Linked DNA regions of Arabidopsis thaliana. The protein of the gene in region 3 interacts with the protein of the main gene of each other region in a pairwise test. Each region holds a gene or a part of one and is shown on either strand. Other genes may lie near its edges. The genes, in order: AT3G08930, AT5G50520, AT4G01410 and PHT4;1.

Evidence for each region.
Region 1: the proteins of AT4G01410 (region 3) and AT3G08930 interact in a protein complementation assay, tested with the Arabidopsis thaliana proteins (one large-scale study listed by BioGRID).
Region 2: the proteins of AT4G01410 (region 3) and AT5G50520 interact in a protein complementation assay, tested with the Arabidopsis thaliana proteins (one large-scale study listed by BioGRID).
Region 4: the proteins of AT4G01410 (region 3) and PHT4;1 interact in a protein complementation assay, tested with the Arabidopsis thaliana proteins (one large-scale study listed by BioGRID).

Annotation. Positions count from the first base shown.
Region 1 is NC_003074.8:2,711,496-2,717,867, reverse strand, and holds AT3G08930 (LMBR1-like membrane protein), read right to left. Parts: upstream 4,557-6,372; 5' UTR 4,307-4,556; coding exon 3,957-4,306; intron 3,855-3,956; coding exon 3,769-3,854; intron 3,477-3,768; coding exon 3,361-3,476; intron 3,250-3,360; coding exon 3,139-3,249; intron 2,921-3,138; coding exon 2,822-2,920; intron 2,730-2,821; coding exon 2,607-2,729; intron 2,345-2,606; coding exon 2,282-2,344; intron 2,203-2,281; coding exon 2,138-2,202; intron 1,981-2,137; coding exon 1,871-1,980; intron 1,781-1,870; coding exon 1,666-1,780; intron 1,569-1,665; coding exon 1,503-1,568; intron 1,197-1,502; coding exon 1,086-1,196; intron 1,010-1,085; coding exon 943-1,009; intron 858-942; coding exon 810-857; 3' UTR 502-809; downstream 1-501. Other genes in the region: LHCB4.2 (light harvesting complex photosystem II), read right to left, coding at 1-151; AT3G08920 (Rhodanese/Cell cycle control phosphatase superfamily protein), read right to left, coding at 4,751-4,955, 5,155-5,594; AT3G08910 (DNAJ heat shock family protein), read left to right, coding at 6,057-6,221.
Region 2 is NC_003076.8:20,568,998-20,573,469, reverse strand, and holds AT5G50520 (Major facilitator superfamily protein), read left to right. Parts: upstream 1-1,813; 5' UTR 1,814-1,882; coding exon 1,883-2,224; intron 2,225-2,420; coding exon 2,421-3,235; intron 3,236-3,324; coding exon 3,325-3,790; 3' UTR 3,791-3,937; downstream 3,938-4,472. Other genes in the region: AT5G50530 (CBS / octicosapeptide/Phox/Bemp1 (PB1) domains-containing protein), read left to right, coding at 1-50, 209-314, 405-463, 613-722, 801-919, 1,012-1,097, 1,179-1,268, 1,415-1,594.
Region 3 is NC_003075.7:576,057-579,808, reverse strand, and holds AT4G01410 (Late embryogenesis abundant (LEA) hydroxyproline-rich glycoprotein family), read right to left. Parts: upstream 1,782-3,752; 5' UTR 1,502-1,781; coding exon 818-1,501; 3' UTR 522-817; downstream 1-521. Other genes in the region: AT4G01400 (oligomeric golgi complex subunit-like protein), read left to right, coding at 2,566-3,752.
Region 4 is NC_003071.7:12,672,586-12,677,814, forward strand, and holds PHT4;1 (phosphate transporter 4;1), read right to left. Parts: upstream 3,493-5,229; 5' UTR 3,419-3,492; coding exon 3,059-3,418; exon of another isoform or gene 2,984-3,058; coding exon 2,876-2,983; intron 2,744-2,875; coding exon 2,588-2,743; intron 2,499-2,587; coding exon 2,283-2,498; intron 2,195-2,282; coding exon 1,985-2,194; intron 1,899-1,984; coding exon 1,761-1,898; intron 1,683-1,760; coding exon of another isoform or gene 1,674-1,682; exon of another isoform or gene 1,664-1,673; coding exon 1,496-1,663; intron 1,407-1,495; coding exon 1,322-1,406; intron 1,198-1,321; coding exon 1,100-1,197; 3' UTR 716-1,099; downstream 1-715. Other genes in the region: JOSL (JOSEPHIN-like protein), read left to right, coding at 324-715; AT2G29654 (uncharacterized protein), read right to left, coding at 4,694-4,876. UniProt on the Arabidopsis thaliana protein: Specific for inorganic phosphate transport across the thylakoid membrane in a sodium dependent manner. Binds glutamate but cannot transport it. May act as an ascorbate transporter at the thylakoid membrane.

The DNA.
Region 1 (6,372 bases), on a different chromosome or scaffold from region 3:
CTGAGATAACCGTCTTAGCCTTTTTGGGAGATGCTTTCTTGGTTCCGAATCCGAACCGGGCTGTGAACCGGCTTGAATTGGAGCTAATGTCGGAAACCACCCGGGTACCCATGATTGAAGAAGCAGCAGCGGCGGTTGAAGTGGCGGCCATCTCCGGCGTCGTTAGTTAGTTCTGTCGCGTTTGCGGTTTGTAACTTATCTGAAGCAAATGGCGTTTTTAAGTGGCGGTATGTGTGTGGGAGAGATCTCAGAGAACGAATCTTGACGGTTAGATGGAGAAACAAATCCATCTGACGGTAGGAAACAAAATCAGCCTTATCTATAAAAAGCTCGCGTTATCTATCCTGTCTGTCTTTTAGAGTTAGATGAGGCAAGCAAGCTGATTGGGCAAAAGAAGCTATTGACGAATCGCATAGCAACGCCACTTGTCACTTCAGCAGCACATGTCCACTTGTATAGTTGTATGCCTTGCATACTAAACAAATTCAAGAATATTGATAATCCGGTTAGGTTCGGTTACAATTGTCTCAAACCACAAAGGAAGTCTCTGTCTTGTAAAAATTCGAAGAAGGCTTCTCATTAAGAAAATATGATTACATGATCGCATCCGAGACAGTACAATAGACCAAGACAGGACAGCTAACTGTTGCGCAACCAAACAGCACACTCACAAGAAATTTAATAATACATTCAGGAAAATAAACCTCAGAAGCAGAGTCTCTAGATACTTCTGGAATCGATGATGATCCAGAAACAAGTAGAAACTTTGTCGACAGCACTCAATCAGATCCCCGTGAAAACGTTTTACATTAAGAAGAGAGCTGGAAACGGCCACTAGTTTTTTTTCTTCTCCATCCCTGCCAAAACACCAAAGACCATATGATTCTACAAATACTTAATACAGAAGAGAAAACCCGAGGAGTAACATCAACGAGGACTTACAAAGGCAATGTAATATAGGAAAGTCAGTCCAGCCAGGATAACAAACCCGATTTGGAACACATTGTACCTGAAATATAAAACCTCAATAAGACGCATCACGGATATAGCATATGACTGCTATATGTTATACCACTTCTACTTACTTGTAAAGGTACTTAATTCCTCTAAGGGACTGCAATGTGTGGCCAAATATCTCCTGGGCAGCAGTGGCTTGAGCGTAATATCCAAATGCAGTGGCACAAAATTGAATCACGCTGCATTTTAAATGAACCACATTACTCAGACTGTGAGGATTAACATGTAATTGTGAGGGTAGCAGCTGTATATTAAAAGTCTTGGTTTGACATCTAATAGAGTACAAAGGATACCCAAGTGCATGAGTAAAGTAACTATAAACTTCGATTCAGGCATTCGCCGGAAAGGAAATTAGTTTTAGTGATGGCATGAAAACACTGATAAGTTAATGTATGCACATAAACATGCTTGATCTAGATCCGTTTATCAGAGTGCACTTGATCCCAACAGATACAAAGGCAGAAGAAGAGACCAGAGAGACTTACCTGATTGAACAAAGAAGAATGAGGCCGACATTGAAGAGGAAAGAGTTCATTAGAGTAGCTCCCCATCTGAAATAAGTTGATATGGCCAATCAGCAATCAAGAGAAGGTAATGAATGACCTTGGAAAATAGCCAAATAATGTTGAAACCGGTTAGATGGATTACTTCATTGGATGAATGGTAATGAAGACCAGCTTCAAACCCAGCATCATTGCCCCAGCGATAACAGCAAGTAGAAGGTAGAAACAGAAGAAAGCAAAGGCAGCAGTGCCTAAAAGACCTGGAGATTTCCACACGTACCAGCATGGAGTCAGTTAGAAACAAAGAAGAAACCTTATACAGGATAACAAGGACAAAAGTATGAACTTACCCCAAACATCATCAAGCTTAATGAAAACCTCGTTAAGAAAAGGGGAGAGAGGAGGGTCGACGAGTAGATATATGATGATGTGTGCAACCCAAGCAATGGAAACGATCAATCTACAAAGACATTAAAAATTTGCCATTTAAAAAGACGCTTAGCTCGGGAGCTTAAGAGTGCAAACCTAAATATGCAAGAACTGTATGCATTATGCATGATTTATACAACATGTAACAAAAAAAAATGCAAAGGAGGTTTCTGCTTAGATGTACTAACCCTACGATTCCAAGAATAAACTTGGCCAAGTATCCGAGCACAGTGAAAGCCCATGCAGTTTCTGCCTGGAAAAAGGTACCAGGGAATAAAATAGTTGAACAAGAAAAATATTATAGTATAAGTTCTAAGATACACTCGTCTTACCTGCTCTCCTTGAGGATACATCTCTTCTAAGAGGTTCACATCTTCCTCCAATTGGAGCAACTCCTGCAGGGTTACCACATTCAATTATAGGATTGAGGGGACACAGCTTAAATCCACAACCAAGCAAAGAAAAGCTACCAATAAAGTCAATAACCAATTCTACTATCTCACTAGCTTTTCACTACAAGTTGTCATTCTCATAACTCCACAGACGACCAAAGCCTCTTTACACACAAGGGACCAGTATGAATAGGCAAACTTTCCAAGTTGCTACTTATGAAACAAAATTTAGATAAGATACTGAACCTTGAGATATATGAGGTACCTTTTCAACTGCTTTCACATTTTTCCGCCATTTCCTGCCCTTAGCACCACTTCTTTCTTCCTGATGAAGTCCATCAGCTGCTTTCTTTAGTTCTCTTGCCTTTTTACCTAGTTCGGTTGCCTCCTGTAATATATTTATGGAGTTAATCATGCAAGAGACAGAGGGATTGACTCAAGATCTAGAGAGATGCTTCCAGAGGAGAACAATAACCAGACCTTTATATATTGTGATCGAGTGATAACAGCCTTTGGTCGCCTGATGAATGCAGTGATAAGTCCTAATGGTAGACATGCAATACCAACACCACCAAATATCTAGAAATATTTGAGAGAACAATTAGTTATCAGATTTTTTTTACTGAAATGTATAAATCAAACATCTATTTACTTCAATGGATACAGAATTATATCTTGCCATGCATCTCATCTGTTGAGAGTTTGTGTTAGTCAATGAAGAATCAACAATATAAGACAGATTAAATCCTTTCAAAGCAAACAATGCACTTCTCAACATGAAAGAACAATGGTCATACCGTGAAAAGAACTGACCCAACAATTGTCGCAAGAGCAACAACATATTCTGGAAAAGTAGTACGCATAGTCCATGTTTTCTCAGATGTGGGATTAGCTGTAAATGCTGAGCACTGCATTGATAGCCAGAGACAGGAATATGTTAAATGCTGAAACTCTCTACGGCATAAATGACTCATGATATAAAAACTAATGCTAATGCTACATTCAAGAGGCAAACATACCTGGCGAGCAGTGTTACCTATGCATGGTTGAGTATTTGAAAACTGCCAGGAAGTAGGGAAAGTGGATGTGGCAGAAGCCAAATGCCTGACCGAGAAGTCCACCTTTCCAATGACACCTACATGATGAAGATGTTACCAATAATGTTAAGGTATTCCTAGCATATAAATGGATAAGATAGATATCTCAACCCAAGCCCTGATTGGGTAATTTAAAAGCCAAAATTAACATAAGAATGCAGTCAAATCATAGAGACCAACATCAGATTCATCCTTGCCACATGCTCACTAATGGATTCAATAACCACTCCAGCTAAACAAGTATAACCTCCAGACTATCGTCATTCGTCAATACAGAAAGACGCTGAATTTCAAGTCGACAAAAGAATTGAAAACAGAGGAACAACTAACCATATAAAATTCCAAGCACCAGAGCACAAACAACAGCCGTGGTAACTACCCAAATTAAGGCACTTTTTATCCTCTTTCCAAGAGTCCTGTGAAAAAACGAAAGAAAAAAAGCCCACAAATTGTCATCAGTATTCGATTAACTCAAAACTTACAACATAGAGATACTAAAATTTCATCAAGCTACGAACTTGTCCTGGTCGCCTTCATAGAAAAACATTGCGAAGGGGATGACAAAGAACACGAGAATAGCGTCCACGATATAAATAGCAAGCCAAAGATCCTTCATGGGCAAGGTGAGATTGCAAGCTCCATTGTATATAGCATGTCGACAAGCATGCCGATTGGCCACATCAGCCGGTAACATGAGAATCGAGATCATAGCAATAGAAAGGCCAAAAACAACGACGAATTTGGGGAAATAAGCCTGGTTTGCATCATCTGGATGCTGATAGTTGACGAGAAGATAGATGCTAGAGATGAATACGATGACGCAAACAACGATCGCGACAATCACGAGAGCGAGGTTGAAATCGCCCATCGTGTGCAATGTACAACGTCCCCAATTCGAGAGATTTCGATCCCGGAACGATTTGGAAGATGTAGCACCCAATTGCAAAGGCTAGGGTTTTCTAGGAGTTCAAATTTTGAAAATTGAATTTGGGGATTTTAGTAGATCTGGATTTCTTTCTTTTTTTCCCTCTCGAAAACCAGACGAGGGAAGAAGAAAGAGGACTGGGAGAGGATGAACATTCTTGTAAATTACGAAGCTACCCTCAACAATGTGCTCTCGTGCCTAATGGCTTTGGGTGTAAACGTAAATTGTTACTAGGTTTGGAGATTAGCTGTCCGAAGCAAATGATTCGGACAAAATATTTCAACTAATGAAAGACATCTGTAAGTAATAAACCAGTGACCAATTGTGTAAACCGGACACAATTTTAAAAACAAAAAATGTCTTCACACTTGGCTCCAAAAAACCAATTTAACGACTCTTCTGGCCAAAAGACGGTAACAGTACAAGTAGTTTGAGTAAATAAAATGATACACCTCCTATCGTGGCGAACCGAAGCTCTTCGGTCCCTTCGATCTCTGGAAAATCTCCCTCGGATACTCGGTTAAACCCTCCGGTTAACCACCCTAAGCTTTTGTACCCTTCTCCGTGGAGCTTTGATACAGCCGCCAACGACCTGAGAATGAGATTGAAAAGCAACACCATTTATAACAACCAAACCGAACCAAAGAGTTCAGTTTAATTTATACTATCCAAACCAAAAGATTCTATGATCAAATCGATTGATTAATAGTTTATTTAGTTTGATAAGTTTCTCTAAAATCTGGACTAAAACTGGCAATGATTAACCAAAATGCAACATATAAAGCTGGTACCTGAGTCCTTCACCGCACACGACGAGCACTTTACTCTCTTTGTCCGGGACAGCCTCCACAACACGGAGGGCGAATTCGTCATTGATCATGGTGAATCTCTGGCCCGTCCAAAGCCCAATATATCCCAAATGAATCCATTTCTTCAGCAACGTGATCGGCCCATTGTCTGGATCTTCCACGAACAGTGGCACGTGTAAGGAACCTTTCACGCGTGCCTTTTCTCTTTCCCAAGCCGGCCTCACGTCTAACAGTATATATCCCTCCGACGCCACAACCGCATTGGCTTCTTTGGGCTCCACCGCCCGTACCTTGCCGGAAAGTATCAGCTCTTTACCGGAAACGGCGGAGATCACTGGTAATCTGTATGATTGTCGGAGGCGTCGGTTTAGTACTACTGGTAGCTTGTGGATATGGTTTAGCTGAGGAAGAAGAACTGTCATCTTTAATTCTTTTGGATTTTCAGAGGAATTTAACCAATGATATTGTTCTTCAGATTTTTCATTTTAAGAACACCCCAAAACTTCTTACTTATTTCCATTTTAGGCCCTCAGATATTTCATAATTTGACTATCACCCTCGCTTAAAGTAAAGTAACAAACATATACTAGTGGGGTCAAATGTTAAATAATAAATATATAGGGCTACTAAGTGTAAATTTCCTCTCTTTGAAACGACACCGTGATTCTTAATTCTGATAAGGTTTGACTTTTGAGCTAGGTTTGCCGAACCAAAAACAGAACCGGTAAAGACCAAATAAAAGAACCGGTCGGGTATTTCTTGTATCTCGATAAATATTTCGAACCGGTACGGAATGATCCGCTAGAGTTTTTCCCATTGAAGAAGATCGAGTGAAATTCGAAGAGCGAATCAAAGAGGAAGAAGAAGAAGGAGGAGGTATAGCAATGGGGGTCGATTATTACAAGGTTCTTCAGGTGGATCGGAATGCGAAAGACGACGACTTGAAGAAAGCTTATCGCAAACTCGCCATGAAGTGGCATCCAGACAAGAACCCTAACAACAAAAAAGACGCCGAAGCCAAATTCAAGCAGATCTCCGAAGCTTACGATGTAAATTAACAAAATGCGTTTTCTCTTTTCAGAGAGATTCCCATCTTTTGCTTGAATTTGAGCAATTGTGTAGTTTGTCAATTCACTATGGTTACTTCTCTGGCAATTAAGTAATCTTGATTTGCTTGTAGAATTGTGTTTGATAGATTCC
Region 2 (4,472 bases), on a different chromosome or scaffold from region 3:
TGCGGGTGATATCCCAAAACCTTCCTCAAGAGACAACTACTGTGGAGAAGGTAAAGTTTTCGTTAAGTTCGTGTTTTCGCTATATATGTATGTATGCTTATGCTCGTTAGTTTTGAATCTGGTTGAAATTATTCTTTTCAACTCTTAGATTTATATGAGTACTCATTTTTCGTCTTTGTTGTTTCTTTTCAATCCCATTATTCTATAGGTTATGACACCGAATCCAGAATCTGCAACAGTTGATATGGCAATTGTTGAAGCCTTACATATCATGCATAATGGCAAATTTCTGCATCTTCCTGTATTGGATAAAGGTAACAAAATGTCCTCAAAACTGACTTTGAGCTATAAAGTATGAAGCATTGTTATTTCAACACTTGTCTAATGTTGATGATTACATACAGATGGAGATGTTGTCGCTGTTATTGATGTGATCCACATAACTCATGCTGCTGTTACTACGGTACACTTTTTTTCTTCTATTATTCTCTTCTAGTTGAAGTCGAAAACATGAGACAAGATCGATAAACAATCCGAGAGAAGAAAGAACATGATATATTTGTTGCATACTATTCTTGTTTTGCTATAAACTCTTTATTTCCTTTTGACAAGGCTGGAAGTACGGCTGGAATAAACAATGAGACAGCAAACTCAATGATGCAAAAGTTTTGGGACTCTGCTATGGCTTTGTCTCCTAACGAAGATGGCGATGAAACGAGGAGGTTTCTACTCATATTCCTTTGAACCATTTAGTTTTGACCATAAGGTGGTTTCTTAAACTGGATCATATGATTTTTCAGTGAAGAAGAGTCGATGAAATTATCTTCGGAGATAGAAGTAACAAAATCATTTTCATATCCCAACACATTTGCTTTTAAACTCCAAGATAAAAAGGGACGAATGCATAGATTTATGTGTGGTACGTTAAATCATAACTCTTGAGAAACAGGACACCTATTATGCCAATGCTGCTTAGTCCATTAACCTTTTGTTTTTACTTTTCAATAACAGAAACACAGAGTTTGACAACTCTGATAACAGCAATCCTACAAAGAATGGGGGATGACATTGAGCCTGATAACTTGCCTCAGATAATGGTACATATTTATTCGAAAACTTATTAAACGAGAAGATAGGAAAAATTTTCTTCTTTTGTTGACATATTTTGTGTTGTGTAGTACGAAGATGAAGACAATGACAAAGTTGTTTTAGCATCAGATAATGATCTTGGAGCTGCTGTAGAACATGCAAAATCAATAGGCTGGAAGGTAATAAATTGTACATCCATACTTATTGTCAATTAGTGTAAAGAACTAGGATGAAATGATACCTTAAATCCGCGGTCTCGTTTTGGTTAATGTGGATTTTGGGCTAAAGAAGAGTATATTTGGGTTGGGGATTCCAAATGGTGCAGGGTTTAAAATTGCATTTGGACTACACAGAAGAAAGAGGGCACAGGAGAGGTCTAAGTTCAGAGGATATGGACTACGACCAGTCAAACTCATGGGCAGCCGCTTACAAAACGGTTGCAGCCGGGGCTGCTCTTGCTGCTGGACTTGGAGTTTTGGTGTACCTTAAGCGCAACTCAAACTAACAGATTCATTTTGGGGAGATACAAAAGTGAATGCTTTTGCAAACCAATTTTTAAACCTAAGCTTGTGAAGTGTATACCTCTTCATTGATTCGTGTTTTTTTTTTTTTTTTATCTTGTTGCTTATTTGTTTCTCAACCTTACACATGAATTGTATATAAATAAGTAAACATTTTATTTGTATTTACGGTGTTGTCCAAACTTTTCTTTGAAACTGAAAATTACAAAATAAGTAATCATATGAATCAACGAAAAAAAAAAAGAAATAGAAAGTTTTGAGAGCGTTTGACTATGATGACTTTGTGGCGTCACAAACTAGAGCTCCTAGTCAACGACCGATGGCTAGTTTTCGTCTGCGCCATGTGGGTCCAATCCGTCGCCGGCGTTGGCTATCTATTCGGCGGCTCTATGTCTCCGGCAATCAAGACTTCCCTTGGCTACAATCAGAAACAGATCGCTCTTCTCGGCGTAGCTAAAAACCTCGGTGACGCCATCGGATTCGTCTCCGGTGCTTTATCTGAAGTCTCACCTTCCTGGGTGGTTCTACTCGTCGGTGCAACTCAGAACCTTTTCGGCTACGGTGTTGTTTGGCTCGTCGTCACTGGCCAATTGCCTAATTTGCCTCTCTGGATGGTGAGATGAATTTTACAAATCAAAATTGCTTACACATTTGCGATTTCGTTAGTAATTGTGCTTTGCTTTTGATTATTTGTACGATTCTCTAATTTTGGCTTGAACTTCCAGATATTCAAAAAAAAAAAAAAAAAAAGATGTTAAAGCTTACATATGAGTGTGATCCTGCTTGATTCTGGTTTATTTGTTCATGTAGTTGTTTGTTGCTATATTCGTGGGAACAAATGGGGAAACATACTACAATACAGCGTCGCTTGTGTCATGCATTCATAACTTCCCAGAAAGCCGAGGTCCTGTGGTGGGAATCCTGAAAGGGTTTTCTGGCTTGAGTGGAGCAATCTTGACTCAGGTTTATTTGATGTTCAACCCTTCTCATGATTCTTCGGTTATTCTCATGGTTGCTCTTGGACCACCAGTCGTGGTTCTTGCTCTACTATTTATTGTTAGACCCGTGGAAAGAAGTTGCAGAACGAACTTGCGATCTGATGATTTAAGATTCCTGGCTATTTACGGTTTCTGTGTTGTCCTTGCGGTATATTTACTAGGATTGTTGGTACTTCAGAGTGTTTTTGATATGACTCAAACGATTATCACAACCTCTGGAGCCATCCTTGTCATTTTCATGGTTGTTCCAGTTCTTGTCCCTTTTTCATCGGTTTTCATCTCGGGTAATAATGTCACCTCAGTGAAGCCTGAAGAAGGAACTTCCAATGTGGATCAGCATGAGGCTAGAACTTTAATTGAGAGAAGTGACAGACCGCCGGAAAAGAAAAGAGCGCCGTGTATAGGAGAAGATTTCACCTTGTTACAAGCTTTGGGACAAGCTGACTTCTGGCTTATATTTATGTCTCTGGTTCTAGGTGTAGGTTCGGGAATCACGATTATAGACAATCTTGGTCAGATTTGTTATTCCCTCGGGTACAGCAACACCAAAATATTTGTCTCACTGATCAGCATCTCCAATTTTCTCGGCCGTGTTGCTGGTGGCTACTTCTCTGAGCTAATCATAAGGTACAAAACCCTTAACCATTTCACTTTCGCTTTTAAGAAGCATCTGTGTTTTTTACTGACAGATTCATCTCTTTCTGCCTCTTCAAAAGGAAACTCTCACTTCCAAGAACGTTGGCAATGTCTGTGGTTCAGGCGATAATGTCTTTGGGGCTCATCTACTATGCCATAGATTGGCCAGGGAAGATCTACGTAGTGACCATTGTGATAGGAATGGGTTATGGCGCTCATTGGGCGATTGCTCCTGCTTCAGTCTCTGACATTTTTGGCCTGAAGAGCTTCGGTTCTCTTTACAATTTCCAGATTACAGCTTTGCCTATTGGGTCATTTGTGTTCTCAGGTGTGATCGCTAGTAACATCTATGACTACTACGCCAGAAAGCAAGCCGGACCCACCACAGAGACTGAGTCGCTCGTCTGCACGGGCTCGGTGTGTTATTCAGTCACGTGCAGTCTCATGTCCATGTTGTGTCTAATGGCTATGGTTTTGAGTTTGAGTGTGGTTTATAGGACGAGGAAGTTTTACTTGAGGCTTCATCACCGAGTCTCAAAGACTTGAAGATAGTGTAATTGTGTAAGCAATTTTCATTTGGTCTTTGGAAGATATATGTAAGCAATTTTGAATTCCATACTCAAAATCTTTAATTGGTGTTCACAAGTATTTAAATGTAACATTAAAAAAATAATTGCCCTAAAAGAGTTAGATAACTTACATTACATAAACATAATTTTAATAGATATAAAAAAAATTCTTGAAAGAAAAATTAAAAAACCAACTATATTTGATTAATTTCTACAAATACCAACTATAGATTTTGAGTATTGAAATGGAACACTGAAATAGGGGAAATGTTTTACCATAAAATGTCATTTATATGCATGTACGAAATTCTTGTCAAATACGTATCACTTTATGGTTTTTGAACTTATGAAATTTGGATGCTTCAGTTTGATTGTGGGGAGAAACCTAGGTATCGTTCTTGTTCTATTCTCTTCTCCTTCGTTTTGAGATTTTGTGTATGGACATAATATGAAATTGGGAACTGATGAGTGCTTTGACTGAATTAAAAACATAACTGGAAAATATAAAATTAATATTTTTTACCTTAAGAGTCGTATTTGTTTACTAATCTTTACTACATGTTCATCATCTTAAAGGTGTTGAGAGTGTTTTTATCTTTACTTAAACGTTAATTCAAAACGAAGATAAGAGAAGCTAAGAAAATTTAATTCTTCGTCTA
Region 3 (3,752 bases):
GGGGTTTTGGAAAAGGAAAAGAGGAAAAAGAAAAAGAACAAACGTGTGAAAATTCGAGAAAAATGGTAACACAAAAAGAAATTGGACATGATATAAGTTGCCAAAACCAAAGAGAAAAAATTGACATGATATACCAATCAAATTTTTGAATCAGGTCAACTAATCAAATTCACAACAATCATCCACAATATTATTTAGATTTGACGCTTTCACTGTTTCACATGAAAATTTTACATTTGACGCGATGACTTGTGGAGTCACGATCATTTTAGTCACTCGTTTTAAACGGATGCTTCATTCAAAAAATGTAACTTATATTCAGAAGACTCCTAACGTCCGATTCAGATTTACAAAAAAACAATATCATTGAATCGGAAAACAGAAAAGCATAGTAATATTCTAAGTATTTAATTATAATCGTGAGGAAATAGTTCCGTAATAATGGGGGAAAAATATATATATGATAAAACCAAAATGAGATTTGCCTGAAGATGCCATATGTCTGATCAAACACTCTGAGCTGTTGTGTCGATGAACTCACCATATGCCAAGATACGCTATTAGCGACAACACATTTGTATTGTCAAATGTCATTAATTAACATCCACAGGTCCAACAACAGAGAAACAAAATAATTATCACAAGTAAAATATAAAATTAGTAATATACTTGTACTTATAATTTTTGGCTTATGCCTTTTAATTTATTTTAACACTAGACTCGACGAAACTCATCACTAACATGACCACAAAAAAAAAAGATTACAATTCTAAAACACAAAGATTAAAAAAGAAAACATAACGAAGTAAAATTAAGACTAGACATCAACTTTACAAGTTGAAGGAGCGAGAAGAGGAACTTGTCCGTTAGAAGATGGATTAAATCTCAACCACACATCACATCTGGCGTAAAATCCATACCGTCCAGTCTTAATCGCACCAGCTTTCCAACGTAGCCTCCCAAAAATCACCACTCTCATCAAAACGACGCCGTAAGCTTCATCATTTTTTAAACCATTAGCTACTTCCGGCGAGACTGGTATACCGTTGCCTCCCATCACCGGAGCTATCACAACCGTAGATTTATGTCCTAAACGAAGCGGTGGTAGTGGAAGCGGCGGTGTTATGATCTGATCTTTGTACGTTACGTACATAGAGAGCTTGTCGTAGTGAATGGAGACTCTCCGGTTAGGGTTTCTTGCTAAAACGCTGAACTGAACGGAGGTTGAGATTAACGGCGGCGCTGTGAAATTCAGGTCGTAGATGGCGGCTCCGACGACGGTGAGACGTGGTTTATGTGGACGGTAGACGAGCCAAAGGATTAAGGCTATGATACCTAGTATGACAAGGATGGTGAAGATCGCGCCGCAGATTGCGCGGCGAGCATCTCCACCGCCTCCTCCGCCTTCTTTAGAGTAAGATTCTGGCGTTGAAGAAGCGGAGGGAGCGTTCTTGTGATCTGCTTTGGCTGCGTGCTCTGCTTTTGCTTCTCCTTCTCCCATGGCTATACTCTACAGATATAAGTGTTAAAGTGTGTATGTATAGGTATGTGTGTGTCTATACGAGAATCAGAGGGTTCGGTGAAGAGTGAAGACTCTAAAGAAGGAGGAGGAGAAGAAAGAAGATAAGTAGATGCAAGGTTTTGTCTCTTTTCTAGTTAATAAGAGTAAACAGTCTTCTAGAGTACAGTTTTATTAATTGTTTATTAACTTAGAAAGCTTGTAGTTGTAATTATGTGTTAAAGCTAATCTTTTTATAAAGTAGCCGTAAATTACTACTGTTTTTACATTGTGATTTTATTTTGTTATAATACTTAATGTAATAATATAAGATAGAGAAGTACTTTCGAAAGACTCCAAATCTCGGTGCAACCGTTCACGTGACGGATCTGATGAGTGATGAATTTTTTAAAAATGAAAAATCCAATGTAACGTGTATACATATGGCTATACATAATCAAATACTTTGTTGTCAATGATTGACTTATTTGGTGACAACTATGGTTTCGTGCAACGTGATAACTATCACTTTTTGGCCGTGTTAATTTTTAAAAAAATTAGAATGAAATTTATCAGGTTACGGCCTGTCAAAGTTAGCAATAACCTAATATCTGTTTGCATGCCAGAATACGGTTATGTAGAAAGAAAATTAAATTATCATATTTCACAATTCTTTATCAACTGTATAAAGCAATTAATAATAAATTAATTAGATACCACATGTGTCATATTTGTTCTAATGTTTAGAAAATAAAAGTACAAGTCTTTTATGTCCACATCTCCAACAATACTTCTGACCAAATTCCATATATTATTAGTAAGCTTCCAAAATAAATAATAATCACATTTAAGAAGAATCTGTTATTTAATCACACTAACTGAGATACCGCACCACCGACACTGTAGTCACCGACAATGCTGTGGATGCTACCTGGGCCTCAATTATAAGCCCATTATAAAATTGGGCCTACACTAAAACTATTGTGTACAGAGAGATATTTGATAATTTGCTGACTGATACAAGTCTCACTTCCAACGGCCGATTTATTAAAAAAAAACTCCGACAAATGATTCGCCGGCCGATCTACGACTTCGCCGCCGTTTTTCGCCACTTAACTTCTCCGTTATCGACATCCTCGCGTTTTCTGTTCTATTCTTCATCTGAACATGAAGCTCGAAAACCGATTGTCTCGAACCCTAAATCCCCAATCGGGTCTCCGACTCGGGTTCAAAAGCTCATAGCTTCGCAATCGGATCCTCTCCTCGCCAAGGAGATTTTCGATTATGCTTCTCAACAGCCCAATTTCCGCCATTCTCGATCTTCTCATCTAATCCTCATTCTCAAACTCGGCCGTGGTAGATATTTCAATCTTATCGACGACGTTCTCGCCAAACACAGATCAAGTGGTTATCCATTAACCGGAGAAATTTTCACTTATCTGATCAAAGTCTACGCAGAAGCAAAGTTACCGGAGAAAGTCTTAAGTACGTTTTACAAAATGCTGGAGTTCAATTTCACGCCGCAGCCAAAACATCTGAATCGGATTCTAGATGTTCTCGTAAGCCATAGAGGTTATCTCCAGAAAGCTTTTGAGCTTTTCAAGAGTTCACGGCTTCATGGAGTAATGCCTAACACGAGAAGTTACAATTTATTGATGCAAGCTTTTTGTTTGAATGATGATTTGAGTATTGCATACCAACTGTTTGGTAAAATGCTTGAGAGAGATGTTGTCCCTGATGTGGATTCTTATAAGATTCTGATACAAGGGTTTTGTAGGAAAGGTCAAGTGAATGGTGCTATGGAATTACTTGATGATATGTTGAATAAAGGATTCGTGCCTGATAGGTTAAGTTACACGACATTGTTGAACAGTTTGTGTAGGAAGACACAGCTTAGAGAGGCTTATAAGCTTCTATGTAGGATGAAGTTAAAAGGTTGTAATCCTGATCTTGTTCATTACAACACGATGATTCTCGGGTTTTGTAGAGAAGATCGTGCGATGGATGCTAGGAAAGTTCTTGATGATATGTTGTCTAACGGTTGCTCGCCTAATTCGGTCTCGTATAGGACTTTGATTGGAGGATTGTGTGATCAAGGAATGTTTGATGAAGGGAAGAAGTATCTAGAAGAGATGATATCCAAAGGGTTTTCTCCTCATTTCTCGGTTTCAAATTGTTTGGTAAAAGGGTTTTGTAGCTTCGGGAAAGTCGAAGAAGCTTGTGATGTTGTAGAGGTTGTGATGAAGAACGGAGA
Region 4 (5,229 bases), on a different chromosome or scaffold from region 3:
ATGGCTGCCTTTGCTTTCCAAATTTCGGCGTTTAAGTTTCTGATATCTTTAGATCTGTTAGTTATTACAATCCTTTTGACATAAAGTATCTAAAGTAAGTATGAAATTGAACCTACCTGCTTATATTTTATTTGTATATGTTTTGAATGTCTACAGTAATCATTGCTTTAAGTGTTAACATGTCATTATTGATACATTATTAAGAATCATGGCTTCTCTGGTCTCTACCTGAACTCTTATAGGCAACTTGTTCAGCATCAATCCCTATAAATATAATCCCTTACTCTCCTCAAGTTTGTTCTCACTCTCTCTTGATATGTCAGCTACAGGAACAAAACGGTTCAATGCAAACACTAGACCAGTAACTCCTGGTAAGCAATCCTCAGTCAAGGGACCATATTATAAGAATCCGGGATGCACAACAAGCTGTGGTTTGAGGCTACCGAGGAAAACGGAATGCACAGCAGCAAGACTGATCAAAGATCTCAGCTGTAAATTCGTTATGGGCTTACGTCTGGTGGTGATGAGGAAGAAGAAGAAGAAGAGATCTCCACCATTGAAGAAGGCTTCTTCTTCTGGGATATCTCAGCCTTCAGTCATCTCTGTCGTTAATGATAATAATCACAGATCAGCGGCAATAGAAGACTGCATACAATTCATAAACTCCTCTTCCTCCTTCACAAGATCAAATTCTACCTGTGGCAGTAAATCTTAAGTTTTAGTTATGACCTTAAGTTTCGAAAACTCTTTCTTGGTCACTTGTTTGCTACGCAATAGCATATTAGAGAATTGCGTGTAATATCTTTATGATACAAATATATATAGAGCTGAAGAGAGATTTTGAGTAATCTTGAGAAAGTGTGAGCTTTGTTTATTTACAAAAAATCATCTGTATATCTTTCATCTACAAAGTATTATTCATATGCGTTTGGCCTAAATCAACGAGCAGAAAGATCCTGAAGAATTTTCTGGCAAAAAAGGAATATTCCGGCTAGCTCTCAGACTGCAATGATACTTGTATAATCAGAGACTGGCGTGAGGTGAAGTTGCACCTGATGAGAGGTCTTGGAGCCGAACTATTTACTATTCTCGGAATGGATCAATCGATTATCTTCTCTCCGGTTGAAAATAGGTTCCAAATGACGGTCCCAACGAGGTAAAGACCGACCGAAATCGTGAAAACGTCATCCCAAGAACCTGAGGCATTTCATGTCATTGTTAATTCCATTGAGAAAACACAAAAAAAATGAAACTTAGAAGAGATTTTATAAAGATTAAGCAAAGCATTGTCAGAATTACGAAGTGTTTTGAGAGTACTGACCGTGTTGTAGTATGTGACCAGTCGCAGCTGTGCCAAGAACTCCGGCAAGTACTCCAGCAGTATTAGACAAACCAAGTAACACTCCCTGAGAAGACCAACAACATCAATGTGCTAATCCATTTTCTTTTGAGTAGCATGATTCATTAAGACTTGGGAGTAATTGACTAAACTTACAGAGTATCTTGGAGCGATGTCTTGATGGTTAGAGTATAGACCAGACTGTGAAAACGCATCAGTCCCCTGACTACAAGCCATGCACAAAACAGCCATTGTAGGAGAATCTATGTGTTTCAGCTGTGTTAGGAAGAACGCTGGTCCAAGAAACCCTATTGTTTGCATTATCTGAATTTCATCATAGAAACTGATTATCGAATGTATCACTTTTACTAGATTGCATCAAAACGGAACTGAAGAACAGAAGAAGTGATATACAAAGTACCTTGCGGACATTCGTGACAGAGAAACCTCGGCTGACAAGTGTATCGGCAATCCATCCACCGGCATTTGCAGATATTGCCATTGTCATCCATGGAAATACAGAGAGAAGTCCTGACTCCATAAGGTTGAACTTCAGCACCTGCCTCACAACCGTCCATATGATTAATGATAAGAAAACAAATAAAACATCAAGCCTCTTGATTAAAAGACAGTAATATAACGGACTTGATGGTAATAAGTTGGCATCCATGTTAAGAGAATGAATGTTCCCCAGTTGTGACAAAAGTGGCAACTGATGAGAGCCCAAACCGGTGGTTTCGACAATATCAGCCTCCACGGGATCGACTTCACTGGCTCTTTGCTAGCACAGTTGTCTGCAATTAGCTTTCTTTCTTCAGGGAGCAATGTTGGATCTTCTAATGGTGAACTCTCTGCCTATAACAAGTAACAACACACGTCAAATCGTCAATGGTAATGAGATATGGGATCTACAAATAGTTAAGAACAGTAGAAAAAGTCTGACCTTAGTTAGCCACAGAGTCAACCATACAGTTCCAAGAGACCCGAAAGAATAAAACACAGAAGGCCATCCAAATTGATGAATCAAGAAAGGCGAAAAGGCTAAACCGGTGACAGATCCAAGGTACATTCCGCTGTAAACAAGCGCGAGTGATCTGCTTCTCTCTTGCACAGGAACCCACTTCGACAATATATTATTCATAGCAGGCATTGCAACACCCTGGAGAACACAAATGAGAACTTACTTCTCCTTATCAACACACACAAATCCGAGACTGATATCTAACATCACTAAGAGTAATCACAAACCTCTCCAACTCCCATGAAAGCACGAACAACGAGCAAGTAAGGAAGACCGAGTTTAGCAGCTACAGGAGTGAGAATTGTAGCGATTGACCACCAAATAACACCGAATCCAAGAACCCTTTTCCCTCCTACAGTGTCTGCCCAAATTCCACCAGCTATCTATAATATCAACAAACCACTGATTCAACTACACTTTTGATTTAAATGTGAAAGCTAGTGAGACTCATTTAAAAAAACATTGATCATCTAAAAATAGAAACCCTAATTAAGGAATCAGGGAAAAAAGATTACCTGTGTAAGAAGGTAACCCCAGAAGAAAGAAGACTGAATCAGACCAACTGTTGCTGGATTCCAACCATACTCAGCTGACATCGGAAGTATAGCTATACTCATATTCACCTGTTAAAACATCATCTGTCCCAAATTGAATAACTCTTCCCAATCCATAAAAATCCAATCTTTTTTGCTACTTACTCTGTCCATATTGCAGAGAAGAAAAGCTGAGAAACAGAGTAACACAATCACCCACCGCTTCGGAAACTCTTCCCACCATGGGAGGACGATAGAGCTAGGCGAATCAGAAACGACGTCATTGTTTCCACTTACTTTATCTCCTTCTACGTAATACGAATTACTGCTTTCACTCTTGTCGGAGCTCCGAACTAATACCCGGAAAACACTGGACCTATTTCGCGGGTAGATCCATACCCGTAACGACTTTGGAGATGGTTTGAGATTACGGAGGCTGCGAGAAGAAGAGGTTTTTTCAGGTGGACGATTTGAAGTGTAGAGAGAGTGAATATTTGAAGAGCAAAGAAGAGCTCTCGCGTTCATGGCGGAGATAGATTTTTTCTTCTTCTTCTCTGTTTTTTTCTTCTTTGTTTTAAGAGAGAGGAATTGATTTTTTTTTAAGGTCGTGGCTGATGTGACGACATGTGGCGTTTAAGTATTGGTTGAGTGAGGATGTCATAATCTAACGGGAAGTAACGGTTAACAGAATAACTATTGGAGGTCCATTATTAACTATCAGTTTAACATAAAGCCCATATAAGGCCCAAATAATGTTAGCTTACGAGCATAAATTGCGAGATCTATCTTACTTCCCCAATGAAAAAAAAATCTCAAAGATTTGGAAGTAGACCTATGAATAGAATTACAATAATACGGCAATACCAATAACAATAGTTTATTGTCCGTAAGGATATGAGTATGACCAGTGATCTACTTTATGTGGAATAAAGGCAGGATCCAAAGGTGGAACCCAAACCACCCACTAATTGCGTTCACAAAGATGCGAAAGAATATTTAATCCAACAATTGATTAAGTATCCCATGCGAGAGAGTATTGATCATGATATTCAAAATTAAGTGTAAAATGTCAATTTGTATGAACGTATGGGATAATAATGTTGAGGACGAATAGACAGAGGTAAATGTCAATCAAATTTGGTAATGTTTGATGTATTCTTAGTCGATTACATTGATTACATTCTTACATATTTGTAAATTAGTGAAATGTATGAAATATATGTAGCTAGATAGAACAAAGAATCTATAAAACTTGTAACAAAATCACAATTAGAAGATTAACGTTTGCAGCTTTCTTATTTATTAATGGAGGAGGTCCAAGTTTAGGGGATGAGAATGATGTAAGATTGTGGTGCGGCAGATTTTACTCATCGAAGGTGTCCCTTCTGGTCTACCATAAGAATTTCCTAGCTTAGGCTTTTATGAATTATGACTGCCACTTTTATTTATTTTATTCTTCTTTTAAGTCATCATTATTGTTGTTGTATCGTTATTTCTTTGTTGCATGCGTTATCCATTTACCAACATCTACCACTGTGTCGTCAAGGTCTTCCAAAATCTAAACGAAACGTAAAATTTATGTACCAGTAATTCATCACTCCTAAAAAAACACTTGATGATTTTCACCAATTGATATAACGACGTAACGAGATCACTAAACTATACGGATCATGCATGTTGATCTATCGGCACGTAATATTGTAGGTGTAGACTATAACCTAGGTTATGGTATTCAATTCAAAGACGTCCAATTCAGAAATATGAGATGGTGTCATGTTACTATTAGATCCGTACCAGTCACTAAACAAGAAGGCAAGATTCATTTCTCAAGAGGTAGAAACGCAAACTTAGGCCGTAAAGACACAAGAATGCCAACTTCATGTGGATGGAGACAGGAAGAGCTTCGAAATGACCCACTTTCCAAAAGTACATGCTTCTCTCACGTGGCCCACTTCTCCAATTATCATTCACCATTTCAATCATTCATCACTAACTCTCCTTTCTCTATTATTTTATTTCTATATTTATTAGCTAAACGACATCTAAGCTATAACCAAATTACACTTTCTAGATTTGGTTATATGAGAAAAAATAATACGTTTTTTAGTTTGTACAATGTGATATTCTCTACCGACAATGTGATGAAAATAATTTATCCAACCAAGTGGTAGTAATTAATCTGATTTATGACCTTCAATCGTTATCCTATATGAGCCTACGAATTAATTTTAAATAGGCGCAACTTTTTTCTACTAATCAAAATTTCCATGGTATATATAATCTCAGTGTCAAATATGACGAGTTTTCATCAATATGTAGTTATATTCAGAGTAATT